Oreochromis niloticus: one gene and its partner. The protein of the gene in region 2 purifies or fractionates together with the protein of the main gene of each other region. This does not show direct contact. Links are inferred from orthologs where the notes say so. Each region holds a gene or a part of one and is shown on either strand. Other genes may lie near its edges.

The links. The genes of interacting proteins can lie anywhere in the genome.
Region 1: the proteins of prpf19 (region 2) and plrg1 purify together in Homo sapiens (affinity purification with mass spectrometry; 8 studies listed by BioGRID and IntAct, counting the BioPlex papers as one, with this or other methods). This does not show direct contact. The link is inferred for Oreochromis niloticus from reciprocal best matches to the Homo sapiens genes PRPF19 and PLRG1.

The regions. Positions count from the first base shown.
Region 1 is NC_031971.2:14,044,185-14,051,401, forward strand, and holds the start of plrg1 (pleiotropic regulator 1), read right to left. Parts: upstream 3,067-7,217; 5' UTR 2,916-3,066; coding exon 2,907-2,915; intron 2,701-2,906; coding exon 2,594-2,700; intron 1,566-2,593; coding exon 1,429-1,565; intron 1,217-1,428; coding exon 1,163-1,216; intron 1,084-1,162; coding exon 990-1,083; intron 855-989; coding exon 764-854; intron 679-763; coding exon 580-678; intron 462-579; coding exon 369-461; intron 1-368. UniProt on the Homo sapiens protein: Involved in pre-mRNA splicing as component of the spliceosome. Component of the PRP19-CDC5L complex that forms an integral part of the spliceosome and is required for activating pre-mRNA splicing.
Region 2 is NC_031966.2:24,428,225-24,436,219, reverse strand, and holds the start of prpf19 (pre-mRNA-processing factor 19), read left to right. Parts: upstream 1-4,962; 5' UTR 4,963-5,144; coding exon 5,145-5,163; intron 5,164-5,376; coding exon 5,377-5,526; intron 5,527-6,047; coding exon 6,048-6,124; intron 6,125-6,925; coding exon 6,926-7,067; intron 7,068-7,215; coding exon 7,216-7,289; intron 7,290-7,387; coding exon 7,388-7,453; intron 7,454-7,579; coding exon 7,580-7,621; intron 7,622-7,748; coding exon 7,749-7,823; intron 7,824-7,911; coding exon 7,912-7,987; intron 7,988-7,995. Other genes in the region: uncharacterized protein LOC102080103, read left to right, coding at 418-702, 876-1,214, 1,316-1,500, 2,552-2,653, 2,760-2,858, 2,944-3,165. UniProt on the Homo sapiens protein: Ubiquitin-protein ligase which is a core component of several complexes mainly involved pre-mRNA splicing and DNA repair. Required for pre-mRNA splicing as component of the spliceosome.

The DNA.
Region 1 (7,217 bases), on a different chromosome or scaffold from region 2:
GGCAGCCTTCAAGTCAAATTAAGATAATCTGAGATTAATTTACAAACAGTTTAATAGGTAAAAATTGGGCATTCAGTATAACTTAATCATCTGTGAAGAGCAGGGTATTAAAGTTGCTAGCAGGCACTTTGGCATGTCTGAACCTACAGAAAACACAATCTATTAAATAAACACAGGTAACGATCTCGAGGAGAGGTGACTCGGAGGAGAGCTAATTTAGCAGGGGAGAAAGAGGAGGACACAACACATGTTGTGTCCTGTTTCAACATGTCAGTCTTTGCTGTCATCATGTAACCAAACCGAGGTGACTCCATGTCAGATGAGCCATTTTTAGTTTGTCGCTTACTGTTATTTCCCGCTTGACTCACCTTTATAGTCCTATCAGCAGAGCCTGTGACAAACCACTGATTCCCAGGCTCTACAGCGATGGACCTCACCCAGCCAAGGTGACCGCTGATGACCTACCAGACAAAACAAACTACAGTTAAACAAACACAGAACATATCCCACCCAGACCGCGCCCACTGTATGCGCATCATGTCGAGTAAACTTAGAAAAGTTGAAATGATTGCTAGTTACCCGAAACAGTTTCCATGGTGGATGCCACTGAGGTTTGGGCATTGTGGGCGCTCTCCTCATGAGAGCAGAATTTCTGGTGCCACCTCCCTCCAGGAGCGACTGAAAACACACTGATGATCAGATCTGCACTTCTTTCATTCAAACCGATTAGCCTGAGTAAAAGTACGAATAAACTGTGACCTACCACTGCAGATGACGGAGGGTGAGATCGCTCTGCTCCTCCTGCATGCCGGTGGATGTCAGCAATACTGGCTGCTGTGCGACTCGCGTCCTGCCTACAAATGACCCACAGAGTAAATGATGGTTTATGTGTGAGTAAGCATCATTTTGTTATTAGTGCTTTTTTGCTAAATTGCTACTGGTGACTGACTCCCTTTGTACTGTGTGTGTGTGTGAGGGACAAAGTTTACCTAGCTTGCGATGGGGGTAAAACTAACGCCATGGAGTGTACTCCAGTGTCACTGGGATTCCTGTGCATCTTTGTGTCAGCGGTCAATGCCACCCCTGGTGAGTAAAAAATACTGGTTATAAAGACTCCAATTGGGATGATGAAATTAAAAAGTCACAAATTGAGAGTATTTACCTGGTCCAGATGGGTAGGCATGTGTCCCAGTGATCAGGTATTCTGGGTCCTCACCTGAAACGTAATATTCCCAAAATGTCTTTAAATCATGTAGTTTTGAAATAAAAGGTTTCAGAAAACAAAGAAAAGCTAAATTTAAAGACAAACTGAGCTTTTTAACAGCAAAAAATAACTAATAAAAATCTACATTTCCACATATTTGTTAATAATAAATTGTTGGCACACTTAAGAGTGACTCTGACATGCAGTGACACTTTCATCCTCACCTGGCTGAGCGTAGTTCTGGTGGCCTTCCATGCTGCCCGAAAGATGTGAGGCTCTGTCTTTCCCTTCCTTCAGGATGGGCAGGTGTAACACTGCATCGTAGTCTGCTTTCAGTTTAACCCCCATCTTCAACTTGTGGCTGCAAACAGATGACATAATGATGCATTTTCCTTTATAAACATCTAATATTTATAATCAAATGAGCATAATGATATTCACATGAACAACACAGTAAATACCTTGAACTTTTTACTAGTATTTGAAAGTAGATCTAATTTACTGTCTGGGGTGTAGCAGCAGAGATTTTTCTTTCTTCGAGGAGGAAATTGATAGCGCTTTAACTTCCTAGACAATAGACATTTTGGTAAACTGAAAATAAACTCCTGAAAAAAATTAATGCTCTTTAGTGCTGCAGCTACAAATGCTTCTTTTTTTTGACTGCTCCCTTTAGGGGTCACAACAGCAGAACATCTGCCTCCCTCTCACCTTATTACGAACATCGTCCTGTGTGAAACTCTCTGTATGTCCTCCTTCGTCTTTCTCTCCTGTTTGGCAGCTCAATCTTAAACATCCTTTGTCCAAACCCTCCTTTGCACATGTCCAAACTATCTCAGCTTTGTTTCTCTAACTCTAGACTGTCTTCAAAGTACTCGACCTGAGCTCTCCCTGTAATATACTCATTTTTATCCACCCCAGTCACGCCCAATGAAAAGCTTAACCTCTTCTGCTCTGCCATCACCACCTCCATCCCCTGTTTTTTTGTCATTGCCAATCTCTCCAGCCCTCCTCATTTATCTGGTCTAGCGAGCAACACTAATACAAAGCGCTAGTGCAAAATGATTAAATTAAAACCTCTACAACAATTTCACACGGCATTAGAGCTTGCAATGTGAACCTGAGAAAGTGGTAACTAGTCTTAAATTATAGGAAAATATTTTTTGAAGGTCCACAAAAGGCTAAACGTAAAAAAAAATTAAAAAGAAAATCCAATAACCTGCAGATTTGTGAGATGCTTATTAAAACTGAGACGTTTTCACTGCTCTTCTCTGTACTGGACTACACTGTGCTGCAGTTCACCTGAACTAAATTAACATTAGACTCTGAAAACCCTGTAATTCACCCATAAGCACAACTTCAAATCATTAGAAGGTAACACTGTGCCTTTACCTTTCATCATCCAGCGCGATGGACTTGGCGTGATCAGACACAAACATATCATGAGTCCTTTTAAGAGATCTGAAGACCAGAGTGTGGACTGAGTGCTTCTGAACATCCTGTAGATGATAATAAATAAGAAAACACGTGTTTTAAACTAGTGCAACCACGGAAAACGTTGGGAGTAACTACTTTTTACTATGAGCAATGCAAACAAAACCATAAGCGTATGTGGTTGCAGCAATTAGCCGAGCGGGGCTATGTGTCTGCCGGGCGGGCGGAAACACAAAAAAAAACCCAAAACGGACTTTAAATATCTTCTTACCTCAGTCATTGTGGCGGTAAAAATAAAGTAATGTTATAAAGAAGCGGAAAAATATCCCTTTTTTCAGCAAAACAAAGCACGTTCCCCAAAAAGTATCACGAACGCAAAAACATGACTACCGCGACGCTCCAACGACCGAATACCCCGGAAGTAAAGAGGTAAAAGGACAGCTAGCAGTTTGTTAGCGCCACCTATAGGCCAGGAGGGAAATTGAAATACAATTTTAAAAAGCCAAATCTTTAACCTCTACTCGTCCGAATCGCTTTATAAATGCATAAAGCGAGGACACAGTATCTCCTTCTTTTCTTGACACTAATACTACTACTATTACTACTACTAATAATTAGTGCTCTCCAAGTTGCTTTAATCAGTTCAGTCTGCGCTTTGCCGTTCCTTTCTTTCTTACCACTCCTGCTAATTTTAGAAATAATGCCCTCTGTGGCACTATTTCCAGTGCTTTTGCCACATTTTTTTTTGCTTTTGCACTTACTGCAAAAACAAGGTCCAACACCAAAAACAGGTCCGCCACCAATCGGAAGGTCGGTGGTTCGATCCCAGGCTGCCTCCCGGCTGCATGCCAAATATCCTTGGGCAAGCTACTAACCCCATGTTTGCCTATTGGTGGTGGTCAGAGGGCCCGGTGGCGCCAGTGTCCGGCAGCCTCGCCTCTGTCAGTGCGCCCCAGGGCAGCTGTGGCTACAATGTAGCTTGCCATCACCAGTGTGTGAATGTGGGTGTGAATGGGTGAATGACTGAATGTAGTGTAAAGCGCTTTGGGGTCCTTAGGGCTAAGTAAAGCGCTATACAAATGCAGGCCTTTTTTTTTTTTTTTTTTTTTTTAAAGTTTATCATTAATAGTTGCTTGTTCTGGAGCAGCACTGTGGTGTGATTAACATTGTTGCTTTACAGCCAGAAGATCCAACGATTAAATCCACCTGTGTCCAGCCGTTTCCTTTCACAGTCCAGAAGAAAAAAGAAAAAAGAAGCATGGATTTAACAGTGATTCTAAATTTCAAGAATGTCTGTCTGTTCAGTGTGTACTGCCTCTTGCCCCATAGAACAGGCTGTGTGACTCTGAACTGGACAAATGGTTCTGTCTGTTTTCTCCTGATCACCTTAACTGCTTATTTCTGGACTAACTAACCTCTAGCTGGTGAATAGTAGCTCATAATATACCAGGTCTTGGTGATTCCCAGAGGGTCCTATTTTAATGGATGGCAATGGCCACCAAATTATTATTGTGTTTAATGCTCTAGTCCTCGCCTAGTTAGCAGTGAGCTGTTTCTTATGGAGTCAAAGTGACATTTCTCCAGCTTTCACTCGGAATGTGTAAGCTGGACCTGTTTTCGCTGGACCTGTTTTCACTGTCCCTAATGACATCCTCAGTGTAAGAGCCTGAACAAATCCACATTTAAATAAAGCAACATTGGTTCTATGCCACACAATCATAAAGATTACTGAGATCAGGGCTGCATGTATATTTCAACAACACTTTTCTTCATCTGTTTCCTGATTTCCTGATTTGGTGTTTGAGATTTGGTGGGAGGACAGGCCCAAATTTGGTTTTGCTTCCTTCTGTACCAGATCATGTTTGCCCAGCAGAGTACATCTATTAATGGTTATCCATTTCGAATTTGAACCTAAATGGTGCAGTGTGTGTGTGTGTGTTGCGTTATTGTGGCAGAGTAAATTTATATCAGTGTTTTTCAAAAATGTCTGAGGCCAATTTAATTAAAACAAACAAACAAACTGGCTTTTGAAAGAGTCAGTGGGTGTACTAACATAATGCTATCCTGTTAAGAAGCTTTAGAAATCCACGCATTGTTCGGCAAAATCACACGCCAAGAGCTGGGCAGAATTTGGACTCTGACAGAGATTATCGATGTGAGTCTGATGATGCACGGGGACAAGTACTACAAGTTCAATGCAAAGTAAATAAACTGTGTTAGTGTGGCTCAAAATAAACAATTCAACTGAGATGCTCTGAAAGCTCTGCAACAATGTGACAAAATGGTTTTCTGTCCTCAAAGATTTAACGTCACAGTTTGTTCAGTTAGACATTTTTTTTAAAAGATAGTTTATCTGGGCGACCACAGGAAAAGAAGATCATATTTATTAAAAGTCAAAATTGCTGCAAACTAAAATCTAAAAGTCATAATGAGCAGTCTTGAGATTTTGATGTGAAAACTGTAATAAAATGACTAAAAGACTGATTATCCAAAGCAAATTATTATAATCAGTTAATAAAACAAAAGTCAGGGGCCATTGATGGTTTCAAGAATATCTTTACTAAGCTGCTACATTCAGAATCTGGTACAACAACTCTGAGTTACTGTAACTGGAGAGTAATCTAGTTACATTATGGCCACCCTTATGTTTGAAGATGGTGCTTGTTATGGACAAACTGTGGTTTGCACCAGTAACAAGTCCAGTAACAAAACACCACTTGGGTTCAGATCTGGCCCAGTCATACCCCTCCAGGTCTCACTGTTGTTGCCCACATGAGTGATAAAGTTTCCCAGTAAGACGACAGAGTCACCAGGTGGGGGACTCAAGTGGTCCCCCTCAAGCACCCCACCCAGGTAATCAAAGAAACTGGGTACTCTGGACTGACACTCAGGACCTGTTTCCTGACCCGAACAAACCCTGCCATCTATGTTGGAAAACTCCACCCCCTCTCCAGGAAACTCGTTCTAGAGTCCAAGATGTGGACTCTCGACCTCTCGACCTTATGCACTAGCTCAGGCTCCTTCCCCACCACAGAGGTGATGTTCCATGCCCCAGTCGCTAGTCTTGGTAGTCCGTGATCGGTCTGCCAGGGTCTCTGCCCCTGAGCGCAGCCCAGCACACACTGCACCGACCCCTATGACAAATCCTGAGGGTGGTGGGCCTACAGGAGGGTGGGCCCACGCCCCTTTTTTGGGCTGTGCTCAGCCAGGCCCCATGCACTAAAGCCCGGCCACCAGGTGTTCGGCCTCGGTCATCCTCCCTGGGCCTGGCTCCAGAGCAGGGCCCCAGTAACCCTATATCAGGCAGGGTGAACTGCTCCCTGGATCATCTTTTCATAGGGGTTTTTGAATAGGTCTTTGTCAGATCCTTCACCCAGGACAGATTTGACATGGGAGATCATAGCAGGGGGCAAAAGCCCACCAATAACATAGCCCCTGGGATTCCTGGGATACACAAACCCCTCCACCACAATAAGCTAGTGATTCATTGAAGGTATACAATGTGTCATTTTCAAGATTTGATATGTTTTCTATGCTCTGCTGTGAAAATCTTATAGGTATATGAGATTTGCACACTATTGCTTTTTTTCTTTTTTTAGAATTGAGAGTGTAGCAAGGAAATGAGGAAAAAGGGACTCAGGTATTCTGCAAACAGAAAAATACAAAAACAAAAAAATAGAAACTTTTCCATGATGGCATTTTTCAGAGCTATTAGTGAGAGCATTAAAAAAAATTGTCTCTTTTAAGCGTCTCCAAGTCCACCAAACTGTTTGACTCCAGCCTGCTGTCCTCCTGCTGTGATGCGACTGAGGGGAATGAGCTTCATGGTGGTCTCTTTCAGGGAGTACCAGCGGTTGTGCCACGTGACCCAAATGATGCCGTTGTCGAAGCCAAATTCACCAGCATCCTTTTCAGTGTACCTGCCACCTGCATAAAGATAATGCAAACAGTTTAGACCTCACATTAATTAGTACTTTTGTCTCTGTCACAGAATCATGGATCTAAAGTTAGGTTTTGGTAACAACTGTTGAGTCATTTTTTTTCTTCCTCTAAGGTAACCTCGCTACTAGAGCGGACATGTTTGCCTTGTCCATAAGTGCATTCTTACATAATCTGTTATCGTGTGTGTGTGTGTGTACCTTTTGTTGCCCTCCCAGTCAACAAGCTCTATCCTGAGCACAATTGGGACGTTAGAGCTAGTAGTGAACAGGTAAACCCTCTCATTGCTTAACCAGAATTCTGTGGTGAGAGATAACCGAAGCCCTGCTTGTACTGGACCCAGTTCTTGTGGAAGTCCAGACTGCCATCACGTCTCTGTAGGCAGTGATCAGAGACAAAAAGCATTTGTTAAATCCTAAAAGATTTTTGATCTAAAATTGACGACAGAGGGAATTTATGAAAAATTATTATCGAAGATTAGAAAACAAATGATTTTACACCTGGGACAGGCTCCAGCGACAGGCGATCCATTTTGATGTGTGGTTAAGGTGATGTATTCCCTTTGTATTACTGTGGACGTCAATCTCACAATAGGTCAGGAACTGCTCTGTTTCTTGGTTTTACATAGTAAAGACCACTTTTG
Region 2 (7,995 bases):
TATGTCCTGTACATATGGCAGAATTGACAAATAAAGTTGACTTTGACTTTGACTTTGACTTTGTATGCTTTGATGCCATATAGGCAATGTATTCATTGCTTTAAAGCAGAGAAGTTGTAACAACTATTCTGACTCTGTTTCAGGTGTGTTTGTGTGTGTGTGCATATAACATTTACCAGCTACACCCCTGCTGCGTAAAAAGAGGAGAGGTTAATTGGTATGAATGCACAGCAGGTGTGGCAGTACTTTACCTGGCAGTATACTGATGTGTGTTAGGAGTGGGTCTTTTGCAATATCACTTTAATTTTCACCAGTTCAGTTAAAAAGAAAGTAACTTTTGCATTTTAAAATTGTACTTAAATAAACTTGTTCTCTTTCTGTCTTTCACTTATCTCGTGGTTCTTCGTCTTCCTTCAGAATGCATTAAACCCTACCGCAGAAACTATGGGGAGACCTTTGAGCACAGCATCCCCGAAAATGGCTCCCTGTTGGAGTTCTCTCACCGGGGCGCTCCGCCTGAGGCTGTGCCGGTTGTGCTTTGGAACCGGACAGACCCCGAAACCGGTGACGCTGGCCGGGGGCGGCTACTAAGAGGGGGGAAGGTCTGGGTGGCGGAGAGAGTGACGCAAGCAGACCAAGGCAACTACACCATGAGAGACGACAACGGGAAGGTGCTGGGTCGCAGCACCCTCACCGTCCGTGGTGAGCAGAGCAGAAACATGTGGGTTTTAAGAAGCTGACTGACTACCTTTAACTTTGTGACTTTACAGTGCTAATGGTTTTGTCGTATCTTTCCCTTTCTATCTGATGCCCTCTCATACTTCCACATTCACCACTACTCCATTTTTCATGATTTTACACATGGATGGATGCAGGGCATTCCTTCAACATCACACGCTTTACCAAAGAGTCCATAATCCTGCCTCTATTTCTTCCTCTTCCTCATGCCCATCTCATTTTTACCCCTGGCCAATTTCCTGATGAATCCTCCCTGGGCCCCTTTGACCCCAAACCCCCGCGTGGCCCTGTGCAGCTCATCCGTGAGGGGCAGATAACGGACCATGACCTGCGCTACAGGGGTATCATCTCACTGAGTAGGAACGGCTCCATCTACGAGGTGGTCATTGCAAGGCTGACCTCAAGGCATGATGGGCTGTATGAAGTCAAAGACAGGAATGGCAACCTGGTATCCTCCACCTACTTGCACGTGATCGGTGGGTATTGTGCGATGTTTTTGGAAGCATGCATCAGTCAGAAGTTGTTTGATCCACAGTTGCCACTCCTCCTCCTAAAATGCTATCTGCTATCTTCCCAGACAAAAGGGGAGGGAGTTGGCGAGCACTCCTCAAGTCCGTCACTGTCCCTTCTGGCATGTTCGTGTCCCTGGCTGGTTTCATCCTGTTCATGAAACGCTACCCAAACTGTAGCCTCTCCCAGATCATCACCTGCTTTAGAACACACCGCACGCCGCCAGCCAACCCCCCGAGGGTCAACATCCAGGTGAGGAAACCAGGAAAAAACATCATACTGACTTCCTTTTACATATATATATATTTGGACAAGGAAATATTGTCTTTGAAGCCATTTGATCTTCTTGAAGCAGTTCCTGCAGATAAGGGTGCTATAGCTGAACAGAGTCACAGGAAAGTGAGCTTTTTCTGAAGAAGTCACTGCTCCAACCTCTAGCAGAAATGACAAATTTTCCACCCAGTGCAAGAAGTTAGAATCCACCCACAACAGTTCAATTTATATATTGTTTCCTACGCCATACTGCTGTACTCCATTTCTTCTCATCCAGCCATTTCTTGGTGGATTTATTAGGGTGATGCACTCTTCACCCTGATGAAACAGATGGCCTCACTCTTTGATATGAAGGAGAGTCTACAGCCAAATAAATAAATACAAGCCGTCAAGTCAATCATATTGCAGATGCATGCACTTTGACACCTCCATGAGTCACATGTTAACGTTATTGGACATTTCTCTTTTGCACCAGACAGTCTGATGGGCTGAAGTATCTTTAAGAAGTACGGAGAAAAAAAACTTATGGTAGAAGCTCTTTATTCAGTGGGTATGTTTTATTTCAGATACTTCGTAGATATTTTTATATATTCTGTCCAAAGTAATTTGACTGAAGCTCTGTAGATGTCAGCGTGATGATGCCACACACATCACTAGCAAGGAGCAACCTGATATCCCGGCGAAACGTTTAACAGACACACCGGTCCACGATGCCCATTTCACGCTTTGACTCTCCAAAACATGAAACGTGAAAGGAGAGCAGCAGACGGTTACATAAATAGGGCTAGCTGTTTCAGCCTTTCTTTTTAATCTCTATTTGAGCCTTGCCATGCCTTCATGCCATGGCGAGACATATGTCATCTGGCTGTCCCTCCGCAATCCACAAGAACCTTGGACACAGTGATCACTCAAGGTCACATTTATTGTTTTTACGAGCAGTAACCGGTGAATTGTGATGGTCTGTGAGCCGGATGAGTTCCTAGGTCATTATCGTTACTGGTTTATTTATGTTTGTGTGTTTTTCTTGCAGCACTACAGTCACCCCTCTCCTCAGCCCTCAGGCCACTACAGCTACTCTCAGCAGCCTGAAACAACAAGAAAATGGACCCCAAGAGCCAGTCCTGTTCACACTGTAAGACGGACTAACTAATATAATCTGTTTTGTTTTTTTTAAGGGAGCTAAAATCATTCAATTGAATTGTGTCTGTGTTCATATCTGTTGTTGTTTGTATTTCCAGGGTTATGCTCCGGTAATGGTAGGGTCTCCGAGAGCTGAGAACCAGGATGCCCACAGGGCGACAGCTGGGAGTTCTCCTAGTAATAACTTAACTGTTGAGGTAATACAGCTCTCCAGCTGTGAATATTTAGATGCCACGGATTAATACGATATTTGCTTAAACTTGTGTCTTCATCCCTTGTTAGGAGGCTAAATCTAATGAGGAAGAGGACAGGATTTCCTTCCCTGTGCCCGGAGCTTCAGACTGCCTCCACTCATCCGAGGACTGCGTTCAGTTCCAAATCAAAAAGGACGGAGATAAGGGAAGGGGGAACAAATCCCAAGACTTCTTTTCCACGCTGCCACTAGACACGGACACCTCTGAATCCTTCAGTGTTTACACGTCAAAGAATCTGAACTTTTCATAAAACAGAGAACTGGATCGGAGATAAGGGAAGAAGGATTATTCAGCATGGAGAAATCACACAAACGGTGAAGTTATGCTCCTGACAGAGAAGAAAAACCTTGCCTGTGCCTTATGCACGGTTTTAATAGTTTGCTTTGTAATTTTTCTGAAGCATGAGTTGAGCATAATCCTTCCTGTCTCATATTGCACTGCCTGATGGTGCTCCTGAAATCTCCTGCCGTTACCTACCTCCGGACCCTCAGGACCAATATGATCTGCACTGCTCCTGTGTTTAAGACGGTCTCTAGGGCTACCCACCAGTTGTTGTGGTAACGTTTGAAAAAGCTCATTTTTAAATACTGTACAGCAATATTGACTTAAGTTCTCACCCATCATGTTGTCCATATGTAATTATTATTCTAAATAGCTTGTCTGCATTTCTAACGATTTATGCAGTGTATTAAATCTTTGGGGGTAATTCTAGTTATAATAGTTATGTGACATGTTTCACCAAATACTGCAATTAATCTGTGAATTTTGTGTGCAGGATAACTTTTTATCCCCAAAGCTTGTAATATTTTCACAATGTCATAATGTCATCACTCAAAAAATAAAAAAAGTGTCTTTAACAAACACATTTTAGATGATGTCATCTTTACACTGTATGTATGTTCGCCACCCAGGGGTGTGTCCTTTTTGCTTTGCTCTTCTCCCTCCATGCAAGTGGCTGTTTCTCTAAAAACCTGTCAGTCAAAATTGTGATTTTTGATGACGGTCATTGGTCTTATCAAGGACACAGATGTGGGGTTGAACAGCTGGCCCTGTTGTGTAGTCAGATCAGCCTAGAGCTGAATACGCTCAAACTGTAGCAGTAACAGTGCAGTTGAGGAGGAGTCACTCTCCATTATCCCCGCTTGCCACAATGTTCCAAGATCTGAAGTGGTCACTCAGTATAGACACTATCATCAAAAAGGCCGAGCAGAGGCCTGCACCAGCTCAGGAAGTTCAACCTGCCTCAGGAGGTGTTGATCCATTCGACTCTGCATTAATCCAGTCTGTTCTCTGCTCACTCATCATGGTATTGTTTGCAGGACAAGAACAGACTACAATGGACAGTGAATTCTGCAGGAAATACAAATGTAGAGTCAGGGCACAATCAGGCAATATCACTGCATATCCTCTGGTAGGCGCTACAGAGCACTGTATGCCCAAACAAGCAGCCATCTGTACAGTTCCTTTCCACAGGCCATCACTCTGATAAACATTTAGGACACTCACATGGTCTCTGTATTTAAAAAATCCACCAAACCTGCTGCTGAATCAAAGCATGCAGTATATACTGTTTTGTCCTGTTGTACATACCTATATGCTATATATATATATTTATAGTCAATCCTCATGTGTATACTGTATATATAATAACTAGCTGTCCAGCTCTTATTTATTCCAACAGATTTGCACTCTGCAACTTTGCTCTATGAGTACGCTATAAATGTATTATTGTCTGTGCCGTGTTGGTGTCATGTTGTTTCTCTGTCTGTCTGTTGGCTACTCTGTTATGTACACTGAGTGCAAAAACTCCTTGTACCTGATCAATAAAGCAATAATCAATAAACTAACGATTGACCACTTTCCACCTATGCGTGTGTGTATACATATATATATATATGTGTGTGTGTGTGTGTGTATATATATATATATATATATATATATATATATATATATATATATATATATATATATAGATAGATAGATACACATATATTTAGGAAGCTGGAAAGTGGTCAAATGTTCTCCTCGGCGCAGTGACGGTAGGTGGCAGAGTTTGGGACATTGAAGCTAACTCAAAGCGTAGAAGAAGAGTGTTCGTTGTAGCGGCAATGAAAGGACAGCGTGCTACTTCCAAACAGAAGTAAAGTCTACCTTAGCTGCAACAACTTTAAAGTACAGCGCGAGCATAAATCACATTTAACACGAGACTTTTAGGACTCCGCCTGGAACATGGCTTTGGTTTGTGCAAGTAGGTGAAGCTGAATTCATTGATATGACGGAGGCCGGTTAGCTCGGTACCGCGCTAATGCTGCTAGCTGATTTAGCTAGCGTTAGCGGCCATGCAGTACCGCCTTCTGCTTTGATATAGTTCATCGATCTCTCTTTTTTAATTGTGTGTGTTTTTTTTAAATTGCTGGGAGTTATGTGTTGTTAAAAAAGCCGGAACTGAACTCTATTACAGTTTCCAACGAAGTGCCAGAGCACCCGTGCGTCTCTCCGGTGTCCAACCAGGTGTTTGAGCGCAGGCTGATCGAGAAGTACATCGCAGAGAATGGGACGGACCCGATGAACGGACAGCCGCTGTCCGAGGAGCAGCTCGTAGACATCAAAGGTGGGTTTCTGGGTGTTTTCTAAGAGGCAGTAGACCTTAATAAAGTTCATGCAGAGTAATGCTACTTCCGTCAGAGAGGTCGTTATCAGTGGAATGATGCTCGGCTTTGGTTTCGTAGGCTGAAGTTTGCAGACGTGTTGCATTGTATTGTATCTTATGAATCATATAAAACAAATCCTGAAGAATTCAGGTGAAGCGAAAAATAAAACCTCCCAAACAAATAAACTTTTTTTAAAAGAACTTACACAAAAGTAGAATATTATATTCATCATCAAAAACCGATTTATCTCATTTGCTGTTTGTTAAATAAGTTTTAGTTTTAATCGTGTGGCCTTCAAGGGTGAGACTTTGTGAAGTTGGATAGGTGCTCATGAGCTATTCTTTGTGATATTCATAGAACCATAGGAAATGATCTAGATTTATATATGAAAAGAAAATCAGTGTGGCATATGCCCTTAAATACTCAAATCTCATTGCAAATAAGCCTCGATGAATTACTGAAGAGGTTTCCTGTCTTTTAGTGGCTCATCCTATTAGACCAAAGGCACCATCGGCAACCAGTATTCCTGCCATTCTCAAGTCCCTTCAAGATGAATGGGTAAGTCCTGTAAACTCTGAGATAGCAAAGAACAGAGCACTTTATACTGTATCTATTGTATGTATCATTTTGTTTTTAAATTGATTTTTCTTATTAATGTTTAACACTACATCAACAACACATTACAAATACACACAACATTTAGGAACATTTTAAACAAGTAGGGAGTCAGCTACTAATCAACATAAATTAGTTATAAATGTGTAGAACTCAAATCAGATCTGTAGGGTGTTGGATAGTTTAACAATTAAAAGTGTGTTACAGGCAACCATTTATCCCTCTCCAGTAGTTTTTAACAACAGGACTCTTGTTTTGAATTTTTGTTTTTTGTTTGTTTGTTTTTTCTAATTGTGCATTTATATGATGGGTTACAACAGCATATTTTTGATCTAATCTGTGCTGCAAAAAAAGAATCTAATAGAAGATTGGCCCCTTTTCTTTCTTGAATTGCAAAGTTTTGTGACAAACCTTGGGTCTTTTGAATTAGTTTGAATTCATGAAAAATGTTTGTTTGGTACATTCATTTAAATAACTTTAATTCTTTAGCTGAGACCAAAAAAGCGAGTTCCATCTTGTTATCTTCCTTATTTAATTTAAACACATGGGTGTAAAGTTATATTCCAGTGAGTTTAATAAATTTTCTTAAGATATATTTCAAACAAACCAGTATATGGTGGGATTTTTTGTTTTTGTTTTTGTTTTTTAAATCTTGACTGCAAAATGCTGGTAGAACCAAAGTAATTAAAACATGTCAATTTGTGTCTGTTTGTGCTCCTTTCTCACTTTTCATTTCTGTTCTAGGATGCTGTAATGCTTCATAGCTTCACCTTGCGGCAGCAGCTGCAGACTACTCGCCAAGAACTTTCACACGCCCTCTATCAGCACGATGCCGCCTGCAGAGTCATCGCTCGACTCACCAAAGAGGTCACAGCTGCAAGAGAAGGTGGGTTGACAGCAGTTTGGGTGTCCGCACAGTTATGAAACGTGTAGAAATGGCTTTAATGTGATCATCGGGTCCAAATGAACCTGGATTCATTGATATTGTGTGTGTATTTTATTTATTTTAATGAGTCGATTTCTTCTTTCCACAGCTCTTGCTACGCTCAAACCCCAGGCCGGATTGGTTGCCCCTCAGGCAGTGCCCGCCTCTCAGCCAGCTGCAGCAGTGAGTAGCTGGGCTTTAGTTTCAGCTGATAAGACAACGATCAGACTGTCACATCATGCCTTTAAAAAATATTTAATTCTGCCTTTTTTTTACACCAGGGTGCTGGTGGAGAGCCTATGGAGATTAGTGAACAAGTGGGAATGACTCCAGAAATCATCCAGAAGGTAATATTGATATATTTTTTTTGATTGATTACTTTTTTACCATTATGACCGTTTGTAATAATTTCTTTGGTTATAAAGTGCTTTTCTTGAGCTTGATGTTTTTAAATGTTTTTTTTCTATTTGCAGCTCCAAGACAAGGCTACTATCCTCACTACAGAGAGAAAGAAGGTATTAAATTTCTCTTTTATTTAGCTGCTAATGTGCAAACACTTGTTTTACTTATTTTGCCACAAGCTCTGTTTGTGCATAATTTACCCTCGCTCTCATTTAATTGCTTTACTGTGGTTCTCTACAGAGAGGCAAAACTGTCCCAGAGGATCTGGTTAGAGCCGAGGATCTCGGCAAATACCGCCAAGTGGCCTCTCATGCTGTAAGTATTGATTATGCAGGATCACGAGGATGCATCTGTTTCACCGAGCAATCCAATTTATCACCGTTCTCTCCTATGTTGCCTTCAGGGTCTTCATAGTGCCAGTGTGCCTGGTATTCTGTCTCTGGATCTGTGTCCCTCAGACACCAACAAAGTGCTCACCGGTACACTG